2 linked regions of the Rhinolophus ferrumequinum genome follow. The protein of the gene in region 1 purifies or fractionates together with the protein of each later gene. This does not show direct contact. Links are inferred from orthologs where the notes say so. Each region holds a gene or a part of one and is shown on either strand. Other genes may lie near its edges.

Evidence for each region.
Region 2: the proteins of PPP1R15A (region 1) and EIF2S1 purify together in Homo sapiens (affinity purification with western blotting; 4 studies listed by BioGRID and IntAct, with this or other methods). This does not show direct contact. The link is inferred for Rhinolophus ferrumequinum from reciprocal best matches to the Homo sapiens genes PPP1R15A and EIF2S1.

The regions. Positions count from the first base shown.
Region 1 is NC_046298.1:44,264,275-44,275,193, reverse strand, and holds PPP1R15A (protein phosphatase 1 regulatory subunit 15A), read right to left. Parts: upstream 4,538-10,919; 5' UTR 4,269-4,537; intron 3,566-4,268; 5' UTR 3,557-3,565; coding exon 1,214-3,556; intron 799-1,213; coding exon 448-798; 3' UTR 364-447; downstream 1-363. Other genes in the region: PLEKHA4 (pleckstrin homology domain-containing family A member 4), read left to right, coding at 6,832-6,915, 8,013-8,120, 9,542-9,614, 9,703-9,803, 9,955-10,064, 10,657-10,872. UniProt on the Homo sapiens protein: Recruits the serine/threonine-protein phosphatase PPP1CA to prevents excessive phosphorylation of the translation initiation factor eIF-2A/EIF2S1, thereby reversing the shut-off of protein synthesis initiated by stress-inducible kinases and facilitating recovery of cells from stress.
Region 2 is NC_046289.1:29,309,056-29,320,506, reverse strand, and holds the start of EIF2S1 (eukaryotic translation initiation factor 2 subunit 1), read left to right. Parts: upstream 1-5,621; 5' UTR 5,622-5,762; intron 5,763-10,200; 5' UTR 10,201-10,201; coding exon 10,202-10,442; intron 10,443-11,451. Other genes in the region: ATP6V1D (V-type proton ATPase subunit D), read right to left, coding at 72-189, 4,951-4,991. UniProt on the Homo sapiens protein: Member of the eIF2 complex that functions in the early steps of protein synthesis by forming a ternary complex with GTP and initiator tRNA. This complex binds to a 40S ribosomal subunit, followed by mRNA binding to form a 43S pre-initiation complex (43S PIC).

The sequences.
Region 1 (10,919 bases):
AAATGAGGCAGCTGAAAACCTTGAACTCACCATGTAAAGGCCAGTAGGAGGATGAGTCTTTATATTCCAGAGAGGCACATAAAACTGGAGCTTAACCCTTTTTTAGAGATCAGTGAGTCCAGCTCCCAATCCCCTTGGGGAGATAACTGTCCCCATTTTAATAAAATTCAGGTGAAAGCCAAAGAAAAACTACAAAACTCACCATCCTTGTTCAAAAGGAGCCTCAGGACGAGGAGGCAAATTTGAAGGATGATGGGAAATGTAGTTTATCCTCTATTAAGACACTTTATGCTATTACCCCCAACTACTTCTGGGACCCAGGAGTAGTAGACACTGTCAATTCAGATACATACGGTGACATTGTTCACTACAAATCAAAAGGCTTTATTTCTTAAACCAACTGGTAAAAAAAAAATAAATAGTTAATAACACGCAAACCACATGACCTTAGCCACGTCTCCCACTGAGGTCAAGGCAAGGAGACAGGGACACATAAAGAGGGGAGGGAGAGGCCACAGCATGGCTCAAGGCCATGGCCTGGGCAGTGGATGTGGGCAAAGTCTGGGTAGGGGCAGATATGGCAGTCAGGGAAGGGGGAGGGTTCCCGAGGCGTACCCAGGCCCTGGCCCGGGCTGCATGGGTGAGGCAGGGACCCAGCTTCTCCTGGGCCTGGGCAATTCGGCGGGCAAAGCGGCTGCGATCCCGGGCAAGCTGCTCCCAGGGGCCCCGGCGGGCAGCCTGGGCCGGTCCCGCCCAGACAGCCAGGAAATGGATGGAGACCTTCTCAGAGAAGCGTACCTGGAGACAGACCGGCACAGACATGGGGAGACACAGAAATACAGACATAAGATACACAGGGCCAAAGGGGAGAGGGGGAAGAGAGAGAGAGAACCAGACAAAATTAGTTGTCTGTCAAAATTAGTAACACGAAGATGCTTGCTATCTTAGTCACCTGCCTGCCACTGGACTCTCCATCTGACTCACTGAAGGTGGTAGAGGTCTCTGGGATTGACATTCTCTGGGGCTGACATGAGTCACAGCCGCTTCCTTTTCTCATGGGGGCCCAGCCTCTTGCAAAGGATTACATTACAGTGAACACAGCCCTCCCAGGGGAGTTCACATGCAACCCTCTGTAACACATGGGGAAACCAGGAGTCCCAGCTCGCAGCCCCCTCCTCCCCAACACTCAAGAATCTGAGCTCTTAGCACCCACCTTTCTGGCTTTTTGGGGGGTCTCAGGGTCCAGATGCTGGGTGGTGGTTTCTGCGGACTTGAGGGAGTTGAGCCGTCTTTGCAGTCGGAGGGGCAGCCGAGGAGGAGCCCAGGGAGGTGGTGGCTTCTCTCCAGGTAAATAGATGGTCACTCGGAAGGGGTGGGGCTCTTCCTCCCACTCCTCAGCAGCTTCCTTTCCCTCTGTCTCCTCTCCAGATGGATATGCCCAGCCTCTGAGGAGGGCACTCTGGGCCTGAAGGGAAGAACTTGGCCCTGAGTCAGCTGTTTCTGAATCATCTTTTTCATCCTCATCTTCCTCCTCCGAGTCTTCCCCTGGTCGATACACCCAGGCCCTCAAGAAGGTGCTTGTGGGAGGGGCAGAAGAGGGACCCTCAGCTTCTCCCTCTTCTTCAGCTGCTCCTGAATCACTGTCCTCATCTTCCTCCTCCGAGTCTTCCCCTGGTCGATATACCCAGGCCCTCAAGAAGGTGCTTGTGGGAGGGACAGAAGAGGGACCCTCAGCTTCTCCCTCTTCTTCAGCTGCTCCTGAATCACTGTCCTCATCTTCCTCCTCCGAGTCCTCCCCTGGTCGATACACCCAGGCCCTCAAGAAGGTGCTTGTGGGAGGGGCAGAAGAGGGACCCTCAGCTTCTCCCTCTTCTTCAGCTGCTCCTGAATCACTGTCCTCATCTTCCTCCTCCGAGTCCTCCCCTGGTCGATACACCCAGGCCCTCAAGAAGGTGCTTGTGGGAGGGACAGAAGAGAGACCCTCAGCTTCTCCCTCTTCTTCAGCTGCTCCTGAATCACTGTCCTCATCTTCCTCCTCCGAGTCCTCCCCTGGTTGATACACCCAGGCCCTCAAGAAGGTGCTTGTGGGAGGGGCAGAAGAGGGACCCTCAGCTTCTCCCTCTTCTTCAGCTGCTCCTGAATCACTGTCCTCATCTTCCTCCTCCGAGTCCTCCCCTGGTCGATACACCCAGGCCCTCAAGAAGGTGCTTGTGGGAGGGGCAGAAGAGGGACCCTCAGCTTCTCCCTCTTCTTCAGCTGCTCCTGAATCACTGTCCTCATCTTCCTCCTCCGAGTCTTCCCCTGGTCGATATACCCAGGCCCTCAAGAAGGTGCTTGTGGGAGGGACAGAAGAGAGACCCTCAGCTTCTCCCTCTTCTTCAGCTGCTCCTGAATCACTGTCCTCATCTTCCTCCTCCGAGTCCTCCCCTGGTTGATACACCCAGGCCCTCAAGAAGGTGCTTGTGGGAGGGGCAGAAGAGGGACCCTCAGCTTCTCCCTCTTCTTCAGCTGCTCCTGAATCACTGTCCTCATCTTCCTCCTCCGAGTCCTCCCCTGGTCGATACACCCAGGCCCTCAAGAAGGTGCTTGTGTGTGAGTCGGAAGACAGACCCTCAGCTTCCCCTGAAACACTGTCCTCATCTTCTTCATCATCTTCCTCTGTGATCTTACTGGGTTGATGTTGCCAGGTCCTGAGCAGGGGCCTCGGGGCTAGAACTGAGTGTGGCCCTAGGTCAGCTTTTTTCTCAGCCTTTCCATCCTCCTCTCCCTCCTCTTCTGAACAACACTCCCAGGTGCTGGGGTAGGGGCCTGCAGATGAAGGGGAAATAGAGGGCGTACTGACTTCTTTATTCTCTGTTCTTTTTTCCTCCTTGGCACAAGCTTCTTCCTCCCCTGCACAATACGCCCAAGCTCTGGGCTTGGGTCCCAGAGATAAGGTGGAAGTACATGTTCTGGAAGCTTCTTTGTTTACAGCTTCTCTGTCCTCTTCCTCCTCCCCTTCCACCCCTGGGTGGCACCCCCAGTGTGATGGAGGGAAAGAGAAGAATGTGGTCACTTTATCTTCAGCAACTCCTCCTTCCTCAAATTCCTCCTCCCCAGGAGGGCCTCGCAGGGTTCTTCTCAAAAGGCTGGGGGACAGGAAAGTAGGCTGGCCATCTATATATTCACTTCCCTGCTCCCTAGGGACACTGGTTGCTTCTTCCCTACCATAGTCTTCATCATCTGAAAGTCCCCAGGCTTCAAGAAGAGAATTGTTGGCTTTCAGATCAGGGCGGGCGCCCCAGGATGCTTCTCCATCCTCTTCAGTAGCCTCCCCTTGAGGGTGCCTGCCCCAGGGGGCATAGTGGGCAGCCAAAGAAGCCTTAGCTTCTCCCTCCAGGCCAGCTTCTCCCTGATCTGCGCTTGTTATTGATTTCAGCAGCCAGGGCTCTGGAGCTCCTGGGCCCCTCAGCCGGCTCCAGGCCCAGCTGAGAAAGCCCATCAGTGGTGACAGGAGGAAGAAGGGGTGGGCATCCCTCCAGGGGGTGAGCTGATAGTGCACTTGGCGTGGGGCCATTTGTCTGGGCTGGGAAAAAGGAATAAAGTTTAGAAGGCATTTAGGAAATAGTAGCATCAGGGGATGACTGCTGAGTCATAGCAACAGAAGTACACAAATAGCAACATGAGAGTCCCTGCCCACATTCCTTTCTGATTCCAGCCACTCCCATCTCTGTCCCTGGGTTCCCACATCTCCTCTCAATACCCAGAAGTCTGGGTCCCCATTTTCTCCTTTCTTAGACCCAAGAGTCCAAGCCCCCAGACCGCTCCAGAAGTCCTAGTCCCAAGAATCAAGAACACAGGTCCTGTACTTGCTCCCCTTGGGGACAAAGTCCCAGTCCCTGGTTCTCTTATCCTCCTGAGGATTGACAAACCAGGCCTGCAACACCTTCCTCCCTCGGAGACTCAAAAATTCCGACTCCTCCCCTCTCCCAATGGTCCCTCACTGGGGGTGAGTCTGGCTCCCAGACCCCTTTCCCTCAGGCTCAGCACTTCAGGCTCCCAATTCCTCTACAGCCTAAGTTGGAGCCCTGGCGTCCGTTCCGTCCCACCCCTCCCCAGACACAGGAGTTCAGGCTCCCAGGCCCTCTTCCTCTGGACCAAGGAATCCTAGCCCCGAGCCCTCCTGTCTCAGTACCTAGAAGTACCAAGTTCTCTCCTCATTACAGACTAGGAGACTGATCCCCAGCCCCCAACCCCTGGGGATCCATTTCTTCTCATCCCTCACTCACCGGCTGGGGGCTGCGCGTCACCCCGGGGGCAGAAGGGCCGGTTCGGGCTGCCACAAGCGATCGCAGGTCCGGACGGCTCGGGAGGCCAGCGCTTTCATCTCGCCCTCCGGCGTCGGGATCAGGGATTCAAGTTATCACCGGTCGCTGCGAGCGCTGTCGCGACAAACGGGCGCGGGGTCGTGCAGGATGGCGCATGTGATCAACAACAGGACTAGGAACCGATCCAACTAGGGCTGACACCGCCCGCAAGGGTTTTATAATCTAACGCGGCCGGACGTGCTGACGTCACGAGGAGAGGCGGGTTTTCGAAACGAAGACGTGAGAAAACAGGAAGGGAAAATGAGGTGGGAATTCTCGCGGGGATTCCGGCTTTGTGGTGTCACCGCAGCCTTTCGAAGTTGGTCACGCCCCGAAACAAGCGAGCTGTCAATCAAACGTGGCTTAAGCACCGAGGGAGCTTTCTCAGCCCTTGTTTTGGACAAATGCCTTTCCCACCCCAATTTAAGCGGCAGGCCCCCGTCTAGAGTCTCGCACCTTCACATCTGGTCCGCTTCTCCGCCCCCCCTCCCCCTGCGGAAGAGTCTTGCTGTTTTCATTTCACAGATGAGGAAACTGAGGCTTGGGAATGAAGTCACCTGCTCAAGATGGTCACAGCTGAGTCCAGGTACATTACAAATGAGAACAATGTTAAGCATCTTGAAGGCAGGCCCTTTGATTTGCTCACTGCTTTCTTCTCAGTGCCAGACACATAGTGGATACTCAACAAATATTTGGTGAGTAGACAGGAAACCAAAAGCTCAGACCCCATCGGGGCTTCATGCACAAGGCTCCATGTCTGGATTTCACCTGCTTCAAACTCGGACTCGCCCAAAAGCTCTGCTTACACAAACTGAAATTCTGGGTGGGTGGCATCGACTGAACCTCAAGGGAGCAGGATGTCTGCCACAAGATCCAGACCCAAGGACATGGTCCCAATTCCCCAGCCCAATCCCCCTCCCTGGTCCATAATTTTGCTCCTCAAAATATGCCCAGTAACCATGTCTCCCTCCTGAGAGGGTCAGCCTCAGTCTAAAACAGAATTCTCACCTGCATCTGAGGTGGAGATCTGACCATGTCTACTGGACCCTGCTCCAGCCAGAATCCAGGAATCCAGGGCCACTCCTCCTCCCTGGAGGATCTGGACTCAGCGCCACACTTCCAGACCCCAGGCTCCATTCACAACTCGGGAGTCCTGAGTCCTCCTCACACCTTCCCAGGTACTCAGGAGTCTGAAACCCCACCCCTTCCAAGATCCAAGCAACCTCCATTCTAGGTCCCAATGACCCAGGAACCTGACCCCAATTAGCACACAGGGGCCCCGATCTGGAGGCCTAGCTCCTACTCTCCCAACATTTAAGATAATCAGCCTCATCCCTTATGGAATCCTGGTTCTCCCTGTCCCAGCCCAGAAGGGACCCAGGAGTTGGGGGAGCAGCCCCTCCCCTCTCCTGTGGGGGCAGCTGAGCCAGGGGTCAGGCCGTGGTGGGAAGGCCAAGAGGGGCGGGGTCAGCGGGGATTGGGAGGGGAGACAGCAGCGTGGGCGGCTGGCAGACCGAGGGAAAGACCAGCAGAAGGAAAGAGAAACTGGGAGAGGGAGGAAGGGAGAAAGTGAAGAGAACCTGGGAGAGGAGGAAACAGCAGATGTGGAGGGCCATAGAGAGAGAGAGAGAGAAGAAAAAGGAAGAGATTGAGTGAGGGAGGGAGAGAGAGAGAGATGGCAAGACAGAGAGAGAGAGAATGAGACAGAGACTTAAGGAAGAAACTGTGAGTTCGACAGAAAAAGATTTGGACAGAAACAGAAAGATTGGGAGAGAAAATGATATGGGTGTGTGTGTGTGTGAGAGAGACAGAAAGTGAGACTGGAGACAGAGACAGACTAAAAGAAAGGGAGAATGTGAGAGGAAGAGAGACCATAGAGACAAGAGACAAAGACAAAAAGAGTGAGTGAGCATATAAGTGAAACTGAGGCCTAGGAGAGGCAGCACCTAAGAGACAGAGGAGGGAGGCTGTGGCTGGTGCCCCAGCGCCCACACTGCCCTCTTGTCCCCTGTCTTTGGGACCCCAGAGCCGGTAAGTTCCCTGGCTGGGCTGGGAGGGGCTGTCTGGGTGTGCATTCCTGATGCCCCAGGGCTTGGCAGGGATGTCTCAGGGTTGCTTGTGGGAGGGCAAGAGACAGGTAGCTGGGGGCAGCCGGAAAGAGGCAGGGAATGGGGGGATCCCTAAGCACAGAGGGTCAAATTCCTTGCCAGAGCTCAGGGGGCAAGAATAAAGGAGCCCCTATTCTCTGTCTTGGGCTGCCGACAGCTGCCCCCACCCGCAGCTGCCAGTGCCGCCCACCTCTCTTGGCATCACTCTTGGTATGTGGCCCTGGGCCAGGGCCTCCCCAGCCCCCCAGTCCCCAAACAACAGGCTCTTTCTCCTCAGCCTCCTCCGACCTGGGACCCCCTGACCCCGTCTCTGTCCCCAGCCGGGTCAGCTGCAGAGACATGCACACAGCCCTTTTCTTTCTCTCCCCAAGCCCTTGATGGAGGAGGGCAGACCTCGGAGCAGCCTCAGCCTGGCCAGCAGCGCCTCTACCATCTCCTCACTCAGCAGCCTGAACACCAAGGTTGGAGCGTCTGGCTGGGGCTGGGGAGGAGGGCAGGGCTCTGGGCTGCCCCATCCTCCTGTTTTCTAGCTTTGGGTTCGGTGCCACCCCAGGGACTCTGGTTGTTAAGAGCAAGGATCCTTAGCAACGGGGCCTGCCAGACCTAGTTAGGTCCCAAATTGCCTACTAGCTGCAGCTAGGAATTCAGAGGCACTTCCAGCTGTTCCCACCCCTTGTATTTTCCTGATTTGAAGCCAGAGTAAAAAACCCTGCTTGACTCTGGTTGCTAACCTAAGGCCACTCCCCAGCCATGAGGCGCCCCCTAGGAACTCAGAAGCAGTGGCTACTCTGGATTAGGACTGAGAACTCCCTGTCTTATCTCTAGCCATCCAATCTACCCAATTCTGAAATTTGACAAGGAAAGAGCTTTTTGACAATAAGGCTCCATGAGGCCTGAAACACTTACATCCCAAATCATCACTCCAGCCCATAGTTCAGTGATGACACTCATTTTCTTGTCCTCCTGTCATTCCTGTCACTCATTTCCATTTCCCCAAGTTCAGAATCCATAGATTCAATCCTGACCTTGGTCACACCATCCCCAAGGGCATCCCGGGGGGTGAGTTGCAAAGAAGCGGGGATGCTGGCTATTGGGATGGAGGGATTTGGAGCCTCTCTCTACCGGGACATGGTTGCTAAAGGATATCACTCCTTGGCACTGAAGCGTCCTTTGATTCTGGCTGACCCATCACCAGAGACTCAGCTTGGAGGTCCCTCCTGATTATGGGGACCTCTCAGGCAGTATTTCCAGTTCAGATCCCAAAGGCTGTATCACATCTCTGGCTCTGGTGGCCAAGGGCGTCCTCTCTTTGGCAGTGGATGCTTGATTCCCAAATTCCTTCTCTGTCAGCCAGTAGCCTCTTCCTTGCCTCCAAACACCTCCCTCCACCCATAAAAAGTGTCTTTCAATGCTGCACTGTACATACCCAATTCTGATCTGAAAACTCAGCTCCCTCCTTGACCTGGTTTCTCTGGGCAGTCCAGCAAGGGGGTCCCCTGTACCACCTCCCCAAGTCCATCGGGTGTCCTGTTCACTTCTCTCTTCCTTCTCTCCTCAGAAGTCCACCCGGGCAGTAAGCAAGGTGCACACCTTCGGGAAGAGGGGCAATGCGCTCAGGAGGGACCCCAACCTCCCGGTGCACATCCGAGGCTGGCTGCATAAGCAGGTGGAGTGAGCAGGAGAAGGGAAAGGACACTCCAAGTGACGTTCGTTAGAGGCTGTGTCCCGGGCTGTCTGCTGTTTCTCTCCTTCCAAGTCTCCAAATTGGTCTTTTTTGCTATCACTGCTTCTCCCCTTATTCTGTCATTGTTTCATTCATTCATTCATTCATTGAGTGACCATTTCTTGAACATTTATTTACAATTACAATGTGCCAAGCCCTGGGACACACGTCACACAAATAGGGCAAGTATCTGTATTACATTCAAGATGGAGGTGGAGTGGGGATGGATAACAAATTAATAAACATAATTGGAATAAATGAAATAACATATAATATGTATATTACATAATATAAAATTAGAATATATGAAATAAAATAAGTGATTGCAGATTGTAGGAAGTGTTGAGAAGGGCTGTGAAGAAATCATATAGGGATGTGCTCGAAAGTGGCTGAGAGGATGAGAGCTGCCTTTGACTGTGGTCGGGGAAGGCATCTCTGAGGAGATAACATTTGAGCTGAGAACTAAGTGACAAGAAGGAGCTCATCATGCTAAGATCTGGGGCCAGAGGGACTGCAAAAGCAAAAGGCTCTGCAGCAGGCCATCGCTGGGTGTTTGGAGCAAGCCAAGGGAAGAGAGAGGACGGGCGTCTGAGCAGCGATTCTCAAAGTGCAGTCCGAGACCAGCAGTGTCAGAATCATCTGAAACTTGCTAGAAAGGAGAATTGTCAGGCCCCACCCCAGATCTACTGACTTCAGAACTCTGGGGATGAGACCCAGGAATCTGGTTTTAACAAGCCCTCCTGGTGAATTTTATGCACTCCCAAGTTTGAGATTCCATGTCAGCCAGTAAACGAGGGTAAGGAATTTGCAATTTATTCTAAGTTTGACGGTAAGCTCTGTTTTGAGCAGGGACTCACATGATCTGATTTATCATTTTAAAAGATCCTGTTGCTTCCAGGGGAAACCTATTGAAGAGAAGAGGGGCACAAGGTTGGGGATGGACTGGTTCTGGCAGCAGCTCAGTGCCCATTTCCTGGCCTCTCTGTGTCTCAGGCTCCAGAGTAATGGGACCAAGTCTTCATATATATAGCCCCTGCCCACGTGTGGTACAGTATTGTGTTCCAGCCTTCCCCGTAACTTCTCAACCTCCAGTTGACAGACGAGAAAACGTGAGGGTCCTAGTGAGAATTGACTTGTTTAGGGGAAGTTTGAAAGTGGTGGAGTCAAACACAGGTCCGACTGTGTCTGGGATCTATGTCCTCTCAACCACAGCACACTGTTTCAGTTCACCTGAATCTATTGTATCAAACACGTGTCTCTGCTCCTTCCATCTCTCTGGGTCTCTGTCTCCAAGCGTCACTGTCTCCATCTCCTTTTTTCCTCTCCCCTCTATTCAGGTCTCTCCTCCCACTCTGTCTCCCTAGGACAGCTCTGGGCTTCGGCTCTGGAAACGCCGCTGGTTCGTCCTCTCCGGCCATTGCCTCTTCTATTACAAGGGTCAGTGCTCCAGCTGGATGGGGCGGGCGCCCTTTCCTTTAGCCCTTCAGATCCCCTGTGATCCCTCACCCCAGCCCTTCTTTCGCAGACAGCCGCGAGGAGAGCGTCCTGGGCAGCGTTCTGCTCCCCAGCTATAGTATCAGGCCAGATGGACCAGGAGCCCCCCGAGGGCGGCGCTTCACCTTCACCGTGAGTCCGTCCAACCCCCATGGGCACTAAGGTACTGGGTGACGGGGACAGGCATCAGAGCATCCATTATTGAAGATAAAATATCTTGGCCAGGGTCGATGGCATCCTCCCTTTTGGAGGCGTCCAGGTCCCCAGCTCTGTCTTCCCTCAGGCGGAGCACCCGGGCATGAGGACCTACGTTTTGGCTGCTGACACGCTAGAGGACCTGCGGGGCTGGCTCCGCGCCCTGGGCCGGGCCTCCCGTGCGGAGGGGGATGATTGGTGAGTTATAGGCCACGCCTTTGACCCTGTACCTCCAACTTGGGTCAGTCTCATCATCCCCCCAACTCCGCCCCTCGAGGCCCTGCACCTCAACATCCAATCTTTAGTCTTCTAGCTACTAGGAAGACTCGGCTTTTCAGGCCCCAGCATTAGAAGAACTTCAGCTCTTCCAATCAACAAAAAGCCTTTCCTTCTAAGCACCGCCCATCTCTTTGTCTAGCCCCCCAATCAACATTTCACACTCTCTGATTGACTCCCTCGGAAGTCTACAGCCCCGCCAGGTTGCCACCAAAACAACGTCAGATGAAAAAAAAAAAAAGAAAAAAAAAAGGAAAGGCTTCAGACAGTTTTTGCCCCGGCCTGCTCCAGTTTTCAGGCTGGAGATTCATGGTTTGAGGCATTGGGTTCGGTGACCTTGACGGACCTTGTGACGCTGCATAAGGTCACTTCGGGCCTTAGTTTCCCCATCTGAAAAATGGGAACCACCTCCCCTTTTTGCTATATGGGTCCCTGTGTCCTTATTTGTGAAATTAGAATAAGAGCTGTTATGAAGTTCAGAGAAATGATGCCTTTTTCTGTGCCCACTTGCTAGTGGGCGACCCAAGTCACTTGCGCGTCCCCAGCCTGGGGAGGGCCCTGGCGGCCCCGGTGGCCCCCCGGAGGTGAGCAAAGGGGAAGAGGGGCGCAGCTTAGAATCACCGGAAGTGGCTCGGCTTTCCAGAGATCGTGGCCGACCTGGGGTGCGCACTCCCAGCCCCACAGCCGACTTCCAATCTGGACCCGGGATTCAGAGGACGAGGAGCCCGGAGTGAGTTGGACGAGGGAATCTGGGATGAGGCAGTTCTATTGAGCTTC
Region 2 (11,451 bases), on another chromosome or scaffold:
TCAACAAGCCATGTTGGATTTTCCTGAGATATTTCTAAAATAAATACTGTTCTAAGCAGAGTTCACTCTACCTCTATGATCTTCTTTAGGATCTGTCGAAATCGAAGAGTTAAGGCATCAGATTTCTTCTTTAGGAGATTTCGACCTGTCTGTGCTCCTTTTAATCGAGCCTTCATGATGGTCTGTGCCCTATATAAACAGTTAAAGGCATTTACTCCCCTTGTTTAACAGAAATAAAAATACCTGCCCAATACAATGTTAAAATTATGCTTTGTTCTTTGATGTCACGAGAATAAGAATATATATAGCCTTTGTACCTGACAGGCTTCACTGATTTCTCAATACCGTGGAATTCCACTCTCAGTGTTTCATAAATGAGAAGGTTATTTAAAACAGAAACAATTTTTTAATCAATATATGGAATAAGTATTTATTAAATTATAATAAAATCTATCATGAGCCCTATTTTATGATGTCGGCATAGTTTACTTATTTGATGTGTAAGTTAAAACAACACCTGTATTTCCATTAGAGGCATATTAAAGATTTAAAAAATAATCTGTCCACTAATATATATTAAAATTTGAAATGTTCTTACCTTCAGGACCAACAATTCCACTTTGAGGAATTTATCCTACAGATTTACTCCTGCATGTGTACAAAAACAATACACGGTGTATTCCAGCCTTATTTGTAATAGCTAAAGAGTGGATACATGTTAAAAGTTCCATAAATCATGGTTCATTATAAAATGGATATGCAGCCATAAAAAAAGAGGAAGGCAGATCTCCATGTGCTCTTTCTATTATATTTATTGTCTTAGCTATGCAAAGTAAGGGGTAAATATGCTTACACAGATACAGAGACCTGTTCTCGAAAGGATTCACAGAAACTGCTAACAGTTTCCTTTGAGAAAGGGGGCTGACTGAGAAAAAATAGATTTGCTTTTTATTATATTGTTTTGTACCTTTGGCATTTTATTCCACAGCCAGTTACTACTTTTTCTGTTAAAAGTGTGGCATTAAACACCTGGAGATTTTTTTTTATTGGAAGGAACATCTAATAAGACACTCTCCAACCTCACTGGAAGGGACCTTATCAGGCACCTGACTGCGAAGAGTCATTTACTCCTGTCTACGGAAATCAGACTCCTCAAGGACGAGAAACCACCGACACCAGAGGTAGACAGCTGTCCCAAGTCACTGACAAGGCCTGTGTACCTACAGATAGATGCTGAACTCAGAATCAGTTCTGTTTGAGTGTATTTACCTGTTTGCTAATGAAATGAGAGCCATAATAATAGTTATACTTGTTTTTTGGGTTTTTCTATATAGTCCAACTATTTATGATTCCTCAACAAGTATAACTTAATACTTTTCATGGATTATGTAAATGTTATTTTAAAGAGCAGGGCATTATAGTATTTTTGATATCAGTCAAGACTCTACTACCAATCATTTTATTAATTTGCAAATGACTTGATATAACAAATTAGGTAACAAATGACTTTAGGTAACTTGTCAATGACATATATAAGTAATGACTCCTGAGAAGTGACAAGAAACTCATATCTCCTTACCTCCTTATTTCAGTCTTTCCCATCAGAAACCCCAATACCAAAGTCGAGAAAGCAACAGCAGAAATTGACATTTCTCTTCTTGCTACCATATGCCAGATAAAATTTAATAATGGGGGGGAAAAATGGGTAATAAGATTCAACAATAGATCGTGTAACATAAATACTTAAAGTGATTTGTTTAAAGAGATTTAATTTCATACGACTAGTGTTACAACCAACTGCAAAACAGTACATATTAATGGACTTTTTGGCTAAATTCTTAGATTATATTGAAATCTTTTACCACTGGGCAAAGGTTACTGAGATAATTCTATAGCTGGAAAGGACTTCAGACATTATCCTGAAAGTTAGGAAAATGAGGCTCAGAAAAGTGAAACAACTTTGCCACAGCTACTTAGTGAAGAAAAGGCAGAGCAGAACTTGAACCGGATTTTTGACTCCAGTGATTGCCCAAGGCTCATACTAAGGCTCAAACTTAAGTCCACTGTACCCCAACATGCCACACTGCCTCCCCTACAGATTAAAAATACCATCAGATGAATAGTTGTCTCTCTAGCTGTCAGTGACTGACTCTGCACTGACTGGACCAAGTGAAGCTGGTTCAGTTTCCAGCCTAAGCAGGAGCTAGCCACCCCAATGTGTACATTTAAACACACCGTATTGTTGACACTAACCACCAGAATTTGGGCTCAAGGAGTCGAATCAAATTTAAGTCTAACCCTAGTACTGCAGATTCCAGCAAGTTCATAGTAAAAAGGCAAACTGGTTGATGAAATTGAATTTAACATGCTAATTTTGATTTTCTCCTAGGTAATGGCATCTCTGCGAAATAGGTCAATTTTCATTCTTGAGACTTGAAGAAAAACAACTTGACATACTATACTTACAGCCCTTGTAAGTATAACCTGGATTTGACTGACTTCTGTTGACTCTATTTGATTCCCCCCTAAACTTGTTTTGCTCTCTCTGGTGCCTAAGGAGGTGTCAGCCTCATTTCACAGGATAACACTGGAACTGTCTGAAACAGAAGTCACTAATGTATTTTCTAGCCTAGCTCTTAAAACATCTGTTCTTTCACAAGTTTCAGAACTGCTAAATCCTACTGAAAAGTGTTTGACCTTCAGCTAGGATAATAACTTTGTTTCCAGCTGAATCAAAGACATCTGACTGCATGACAAAGTACCTGCTGCTAAGCCTCTGGAAAATATTTAGAGAAGCAGAAAATATTTAGAGAAGCGGGTTACTTCCTGCACCTGATTTTCCTCTCAAACAGCAAGCTGAGTGCACTCAAATAGCAATTTCCACCTTCACAAACCTATCATTCTTCTTGTCTAAGGCCAAATAAATTTATTTTCACCTCTCAGTCTCCAAGTGAAAACAAAAAACTGTTAACATTCTGACTACAAACACAGCCAAATATTAGTTAAAGCGTTGAAAACAGGTTTTATTCAGTAACCACTGACAGTAGGGGGAAAAGAACTGCACTCCATTCCAATTTGTGCAGAGAAGACTGGGCATGTTAAAGGAAGAGTGAGGGAGGGGAGCTAGAAGGCACTCAAGGGGAGTCAGAAGTGAAAAATTACGAAGGGTTGGTCAGTGGAAACGGGATTAGGCCAGCTGTGTCCACTAGCTGGCCATTATGGAAGGTAGGATTCCTTCCTCCCACAGAGAATGGGAGATGAAGGCCCTATCCTTCCTGATGACTACATTTCAAAGAAATCGTTTTCAGGTCCTTGAGAAAGACACTTCTAAATTGTAGGAGAGGTATATACATCTCAAAGGGAAAATGAAGAATTCATAATTGTAAGTCCTTTTCAGTAAATGCCCTAAGAAAGGGGCCTATCGTCAGGTGTTGGCTAGAACAGTAACTTCTGACAGCAGCTGAGCTTTCTCAGGCAGACATATTACTGGAGGCTGGGTCATCCTAAGAACACAGCTTAAGCTTCCTAGAAGCAACGCTGGAGTTTGGCTGTCTCTGGTGCAGAGGTCTGGCAGGACTCAATCATTAAGGGCTGGAAATTCTGCAGTTCTCACTACCCCAGGGTAGTCCTGACCCTTATCTATTTTACAGGCATTACCTTTCTCCACTACTGCCTTGATTCCCACCTACTACAAACTGCTATTAGAAAGTCAGTAGGTAAAGTTAAAAAATAAACCAAAAGCCCAAACCCCTTCATTTAATTAATAGCTGTAGCCACGTAGGCAGAGACAGAAATTAAGGTTTGGGCTTTGAATATACTTCTTTCATTTTAAAAGTCCTCAGATTCTCTGAGAAAAAGGTCAGCATGAAGAAAAACAACAATACTCCCAAAGAGATAGGACCACAATCAAAAGATCTAAATGTCAGAGCCAAAACTGATTTTCTGCTCTTCACTGGGGGAAATAAAAAAGAGGAAAAAGGAGGAGGGGGCAAATAAGAACAATCTTTTCTTTCCACACATTGTTAGGTACATTTGAGAAAACCTCAAAATATTCTTTAGAGACTTTCTCTTTAGAGAAAACCTCAAAATATTCTTCAAACACCTAGGGCGACATGCTATTTCTCCTGCCAAAAAATTCAGTCCAAAAACGAAAGACAGCCCACGTCGGAGCAGATTCCAAGACAAGAGTTCATTCAAGGAACATTTTTTTTGTGGACAGTCTATGGAATCATGATCAAGACGCTCCGATCCTGCAGAAACCTCACAGTCCAGGGGGAAAGGCATGTAAACAAATACTATTCATTTTTACAAAGTGATTAATGGGTGATATTAACAGAGGTCTGAACAAGGTGCACGGTGGTAAGAGAGCAAAAGAAGTGCCTGAGAAACTGAGGGGTATCTTCCCACCGCAGGTGACATTTCATGAGATCTTGGAAAATAAGGGGATCCACGATTGAATCTAACGTCTACGCTACAGCATTTCGATTCAACCCCCATATGGCTTAGAAGTCTCTTCTATACACTTCCCCCTGCAGAAAACTTCCCTTCTCGATCCATTTATCAAACCTCGTTGGCTTATCCATCTCTCCGCTAAATTGAGTTCTGGTCAGGGCACGAGTGGTGACGATTCGGTTACATACATCCAGTGCCCGGTTCAATAGGGAGTGTGGAATGAATGGCTCGATTGAAGAGTAAAGTCAGCGGACCTCCACAAAAGCCAGCAGGCCGGGTGTCTGTTCCTATGGGCTGGGACCAGTCTGGTTCACTCAGAGGAATGTGTGAGGGGGCCGTCACAGAGCCTCGCCCTAAACTCACGAAGAGAGACTGGGAAGCTCAGGATCCGCCCAGAAAACCAGGAACCTCGCTGCTGGTCCCGGGTACGAAGGAACCGCGGCTCGGACCCGGCGTTCCTGAGCCTATGACGGATGCTCGTCCCGTTCTTTTACTTACATTCGCGAAGGAAAGATTTCAATTCGATCTTTGCCCGACATTCTGACGATGACTCTGTGGCTCGGGTCCCCGGCCGGGCAATCGTAGCTGCAACAGACCCAGCCACAGCGTCTTCCTTTACCGGAGTCAGCTGGCTGTGTCACTTGACACCCCGCGCGTTGCTAAGAGGCAGCTGGGATATGCACCCGCCACTTCCGCTTCCTGTTGGTACGTGGGTTTGGGGGTGGGCGTGGGAGGAGGGAAAAAGGCCTAAAGCCGGCGATGCCCGGATGTTCAGGCGCGCGCACCACCCAACGGCACCTCAATTCCGGTCAGCTTCCTAGCCCCTCCCGCTCCAGCTCCCCGGCGGCTGCGCAAGGCTCTGCGCGTGGGACGAGAGAACGAGAGAGAAGAGTATACTCTTTCTCTTCCTGCGCTTGTCATTTTTGGTCACAGCGCCACCTCATGGTTGGCAGAAGCTTTGAGAGAGGATTTATTCTTCAGGAACAAAGAATGAGAGTTCTACTTCTCCCTGCGCCTTGAAGGGTTACTTACCGACAACTAACGGTAGCGAAAAAAACGTACTTTTCAGGTTCTCCTGGGATCTTCCTTCTTCCTTGTTCCCGGAGGACCCGGACTCTATGGTCAGTGACGAAGAGGGCCTCTATTCTGTTGGCGCTTGCGTGAGACGAGGTGGTTCCGCATGCGCGGTAGGGTTGAGCGAAGCGCACGCTGAGGAGGATCGGCGGCTGCTGCGGGTGGATCAAGTCTGATCTCTCGGATTAAAGAGCGCGGCGCGGGACCCCACTGCGGGATCCACAGACATACCTCGGGTAACTAGTCCCCTAGATCGGTTTCTCGAAGAACTCACTTTGGTTGTGTGTAGTGACATGGGTGGTCGAGAGAGGGTAGGCCCCGGGCTAACACCTCTCCCGTCCCTGGGCGAGAAGTGTCTGGACACCACCGACACCCCTGGCGGGCTCCGTGTCGGTCTTCCCGAGTTGCAGGTGGCGTTGTACGAGCGGAGGCACCTCGTGAAGGAAAATGGGCCAAGTGACTGTACAGCCTCTTCAATATGCTTAAAGTTGAGGACTCCTTGCGGTGGGGCGGCCTCGGGAGAACGCTGTGACACTCCTGCACCAGGGCCGAGCGCTGCTCCTTCCCGGCCTGAGAATTCCATCCATCGTTTTTTTGGTTTTGTTTTTTGTTTTTTCCTCTTGCGCTCCAGCAAATACTACCTCTCCGTGGAAACCAGACCGTACACTGCAAGGGACCAGTAGGATGGATCACAGTGTTGACAAAAGCTGTCTCACAAAGGGCCCAAGAGCAGTTTATTCGATACTTTATTTTTAAAAATTGAAGTTCGTTTTACCTTAGCGCTCGAGTTGGGCATTTCTGTGGAATGAGTCACTCCTTGAATTGAAACTAAAACATACTTTTAAAGAGTTTATTACGCTTCGCGTCGGTTTGCTGTATTTCAGCACCGGTGAGAACAGACTTGTAGTATTACATGGTGTGGTCTTACAGTTATGCAAAACTGAAAAGATGGGGGAATTTTGGGGTTAAATACTAATATTCAGCCTGAGGTCTTTTTTGTTACCCCCCCCCCAAAACTTAGGCTACTTTAATGTTGATTAAACAGGAAACATTGTTTCTTGGAGAAAAGATGTAACAGAAAAGTCTGTTTTTTCTCCCGATTGAAGTTGTTATTTAAGGGAAAAAAGTTGTAACTCTGTCTTTCAACGGTGTGGAAATTACTTATATGAGTAGAACTTTACTGCCAATTCTCAGTTCATCTGATGCCAAATGACAATTACTAATTCTCAAAACATCTCAAAAAGGTGCACAGTAATGTTTGTAGATATTGGTGTTTCCTATTTCAACTACAGTGAAATAGTTTGAAAGCTTTGTTGTGTAGCACTCCTATACTAAAAACTAGGATGCAGAGAGCTTAAGTGTTAGAGCTTAATTACAGTTATTGCAAGAATTGTTTCTATCACATAATGCTTTACTTTGGAAAGGGATGTGGATTTCCTGTATCCATTGTGGTGACTTGACCATGCGCTGGTTGTTTTTTTGCTGGTTGTTTTTTTTGTTTTTTTTTTTAATTGGGGACTATTGGGAAACTGTGTTTCTCCAGGGCCCATCAGCTCCAAGTCATTGTCCTTCAATCTGATTGTGGAGGGTGCAGCTCAGCTCCAAGTCCAGCCATGGTTTTCAATCTTTGGTTGCAGGGGGAGCAGCCCACCATCCCATGAGGGAATTGAACCCGCAACCCTGTTTTTCAGAGCTCCTGCTCTGACCAACTGAGTCATCCAGCCACCCCAGACCATGCACTGGTTTAAGAAAGAAGTCCTACCTACCATCTGACAAGGCAAAATTACTGACAATGCAGGTTATTTGAAATTAACTTGGAGTTCAGTTAGTGTATTCTGAAAAATAGGTGTTCTTTACCAAAGAACACATACTGCATTGTAGTACTCTGACATATTGAGGCTCTGAGGGTTAAAAATATTCTGTATTTAATGTCAGAAGACTTGGTTTTAGTTCCTGTTCTCATACTTAAAGATTTGTCCTTAAGGAAGTCACTTAATTCTGGTCCTTGGTTCCCAGTTAATTGATCATTTCACTGTGTTCCTTTCATAATACCTTATATTGCAATTATTTGCTTATTAGTTTGTTTCCCAGTCTTTACTTAAATTTTTTAGGTAGTAGTCTTAATTGTATCAGTAGTGCTTAGTGCATAGTAGATACTAAAAAATGATTTTTTAACAAATCAAGTAACAAATGGAAATAATACTTCCTTTGCCTTTTAATTTCTTATATTTGTGTAGCACATTATACTTTCTAACTGTTTTTACATGCATTTTTGTTTCATGTGATGCTCTCCACAAATCTGTGAGGTACATGCCACAGACTAGAAACTACACTTCAATGGGAATACATTTCCCAAGCAACCACAGCTACGTAGTCAGAGCCAGGACTGGTACCCACATCTATAGCTATTCCCAAAGTTCACTGAGTCTTGACGAGGACTTACTGAGAGCCAAATAAAATAAGTCAAAGTGCTTTGAAAGTTATATAAATGGCCAATGTATACCTAGCTTGTGGCTTCTATTTTCCTGACTGATTTTTTAAAAGTTAGTGTAATTATTACCATAAATAAAGAGATATGTTCAAAATCTATCAATCAACAGGCAGGTTGTTTGTGAAATGTATTCTTTTTGTACTTACCGGCTATTTTCTGTCTTTACTGTAAATAACATCAGCAGTATTCCTTTATTTACCCTACATATTACAAAGAGACTTATACTTCCTAAAGCTGTAACATTTATAGCTCCCTACAGGGTTCTTTTACACTATTGTCTGTTTTCTTTAACCATCAAATTAAGCCTGCCTTCCCCAAAATCATCAGCTTTACTATTTGAAGAAACTTGATAAGTAAATGTGGTTAACACATGTTAAAGCTCTTAAAACTATTTCACACATTTTCATGGCATCATTTATTTTGATACTCAGTTTAAAACATTTTTAGCTCTCAAATTTTAGTACTTTACAGATATTCGACGAGCTTTTTTTTTTAAAAAAAAGCCCTGTTTAAAAATGAAACAACCAGCTCAGCTGTTTCTTGGTGGGTCATTCTGGCCATTGTCTACTTTCCTTTATTTGCTAAATTTCTATTTTGTCAAGCTACAAGAGAAATACATCTCTGTCACTGTTACTAATACGCTGCTTTATTTTATTTTATTTTATTTTATTTTTTGGTTAAACAGGATAGATTAGTACTGAAAGTTTTCACTAACTGTGGTATTCATTGCTCCAGCATTGGATATGTATGTTAATGTTGCTTTTTGTTTAAGATTTTCTGATTGTAATATATTTATAATATTGAGAGAAAATATAGCCTGATGAATAGTACACTATGGTTCTTCATAGGTTCAAATTCTGACACTATCACTTTTTAGCAGTATATAACAGAACAAGTTGCTTAACCTGTGCTTCATTTTCTTCAAATATAAAATGGGGAGAACTAGGGAGAAAGTGGTACCTCAGGGAGACAGGCAGTGGCCAGATCATATAAGACCCTGTAGGTCATAAAAAGATGTATAAATCAGAAGCCACTGGGAAGTTACATACGGATGCAGTTAGCAGTTCTCAAATCACACTGCAGCAGAATTCCAGGGTTCTGTGAACTGGGTGTGGATGTTTTATCTTTATTTCCCAATTATTAAGAAAAAAATAAGTTAGTGATTTTTCACAAATTTTTCATAGGCCTTTAGATCCTATTGCCTGTCTTCTGAGCTTTGACAACAGTAAACTGGTTACGGTTAGCAGAAAAACATGAAAATCATCAACTATGATTAGTTTGAGAGCTTCCCTTTAAAAATATATTTCTACTTATGGTATGATTTCAGGATTGTGGATCATAAAAGGAGTGGTGCTGAAAGTAGGTTGGGTGGATCAAAGGGAATAGTTTTAAATATATATATACTTGGCAGTTAAGAGAAACTTGAACTTTATAGTAATGTAGATCTATAAAGCTATTCTCAAGATTTAGTATACTTATTCAACAAAAGAAAAGAATATTTGGGAGTAATGGGAAAAGTAGAAACTAGAAATTATGGTAATTGTGAATTAAATTCAAGTTTGTTTTAAGAGGGGGAAAAAAATCTGAGAATACGTTTTGGTTAAATTTAATACCTTTCCTGATTAATAAACTTTTAGTTTTTGTCCTGTCATATGATACTGTAATTTTGGCTATACTTACTTATAGGGTGTATCCTTTAATATATGGTTAGGGTTTAAGTAATCAGAAGATTCTTCCCTTTATGTAATGGGTAGTAGCATTACAGTCCTAGCTGATTTGGAGAAAGAACAGCTTTAGAATTTTCTGATAGGTTTATAATAGTAGTGATGCTTCCCATCATTTGTTATTTCTTGAAGTGGTGGTATTAAAATGGTATTTTACTCTTAAGGTGTACCTTTAATCTTTAGGTCTCAGAGGTTAGTTGTACTTTATAGATGGTCATTACTTTTTATGATTCCTCTGAAACTGATGGTAGAGAATCATCCAAGCCTTACAAAAGTGTGGAGCAAAATAAAAATTAAAGCTTGGTTCCTGAACATTATCTGTTTTCTGATACCATTTAAGAAGTTTAAAGAGGTGAGAAGACTAACAACTGCTCACCTTCTGGCAAGATGTAGAAAATGGACATTTCTTTATTTTGACTTTAACTGAGCACTTACTTTATTCTTTTGTTTAAATTTCAGAATGCCGGGTCTAAGTTGTAGATTTTATCAACACAAATTTCCTGAGGTGGAAGATGTAGTGATGGTGAATGTAAGGTCCATTGCTGAAATGGGGGCTTATGTCAGCCTTCTGGAATACAACAATATCGAAGGCATGATTCTTCTTAGTGAGTTGTCCAGAAGGCGTATTCGTTCTATAAACAAACTCATCCGAATTGGCAGGAATGAATGTGTGGTTGTCATTAGAGTGGACAAAGAAAAAGGTAAGTGAGAAAAGTATCTAAAATACAAATTTCAGATTTAAATTGGTTTACAGTAAAATATATTATTTGTAAATTGCCTACGGCCGTAAAAAAACAAACTCCTCCTTTTATACCTAAACTCTTTTACGTACAAAGTTGTTAGAGAAGGATGCCAATTAGCCATCTAAGCAAGATCTCTTAGTAATGGTTTAATTAGTGCATCCCAGGACTAGTTTTTATTATTGGTCAGATAACTTGAATTTTATTTCCAGAGGAATTTTCCATTTAATATTTTCAGGCCATGGTAATTAAACAATTTATAAGTTTTAAATTGCATGGCAGTCTGGGTAACATGGTGAAATCTCTCATTGTCCTGCCCAGGACATGAATCATCCCTTTGTCCAGCGTGTCCACACTATATACTGCCTGCCCATTAGTCACCTGGTTATCATCTCAGTTATCAGATTGACTGTTAAGATATTACAGTGCCTGTGTTCCGATAACCCTTATTTTACTTAATAATGTCCCCAATGTACAAAGTAGTGATGCTGGCATTTGGATGTACCAAAGAGAAGCCATAAAGTGCTTCCTTTAAGTGAAATGGAATGTATGGATAGGGAAAAAAATATTCTCTGTAGGGTTCAGTATGACCCACAGTTACAGGCATCCCCCGGGAGTCTTGGAATGTACCCTGCGGATAAGGGGGGGACAACTGTGTTCCTTAAATTTGAGTAAGTCTTCATATCACTGCCCCAGAAGGACCTAGAATGGTGTCTTATCTTGCATTTCTTTTCTATTATATAAAATATATAACAAAAAGGAATCAAATATATTTTTAACTGTAATCAGAAAAAATACTTGCTTAAACACAATAGATACATATAAGAATAATTTCTATAGCTGCATTATTTGTACAGTATTAATTAAAAACAGGAAACAACAGTCAAAATCGTAAAATAAATCATGGCACATCCATGCAATGCAGTTTTATATAGAAGATCTGAATATTCTGTTGTGGAAAGATGATTGG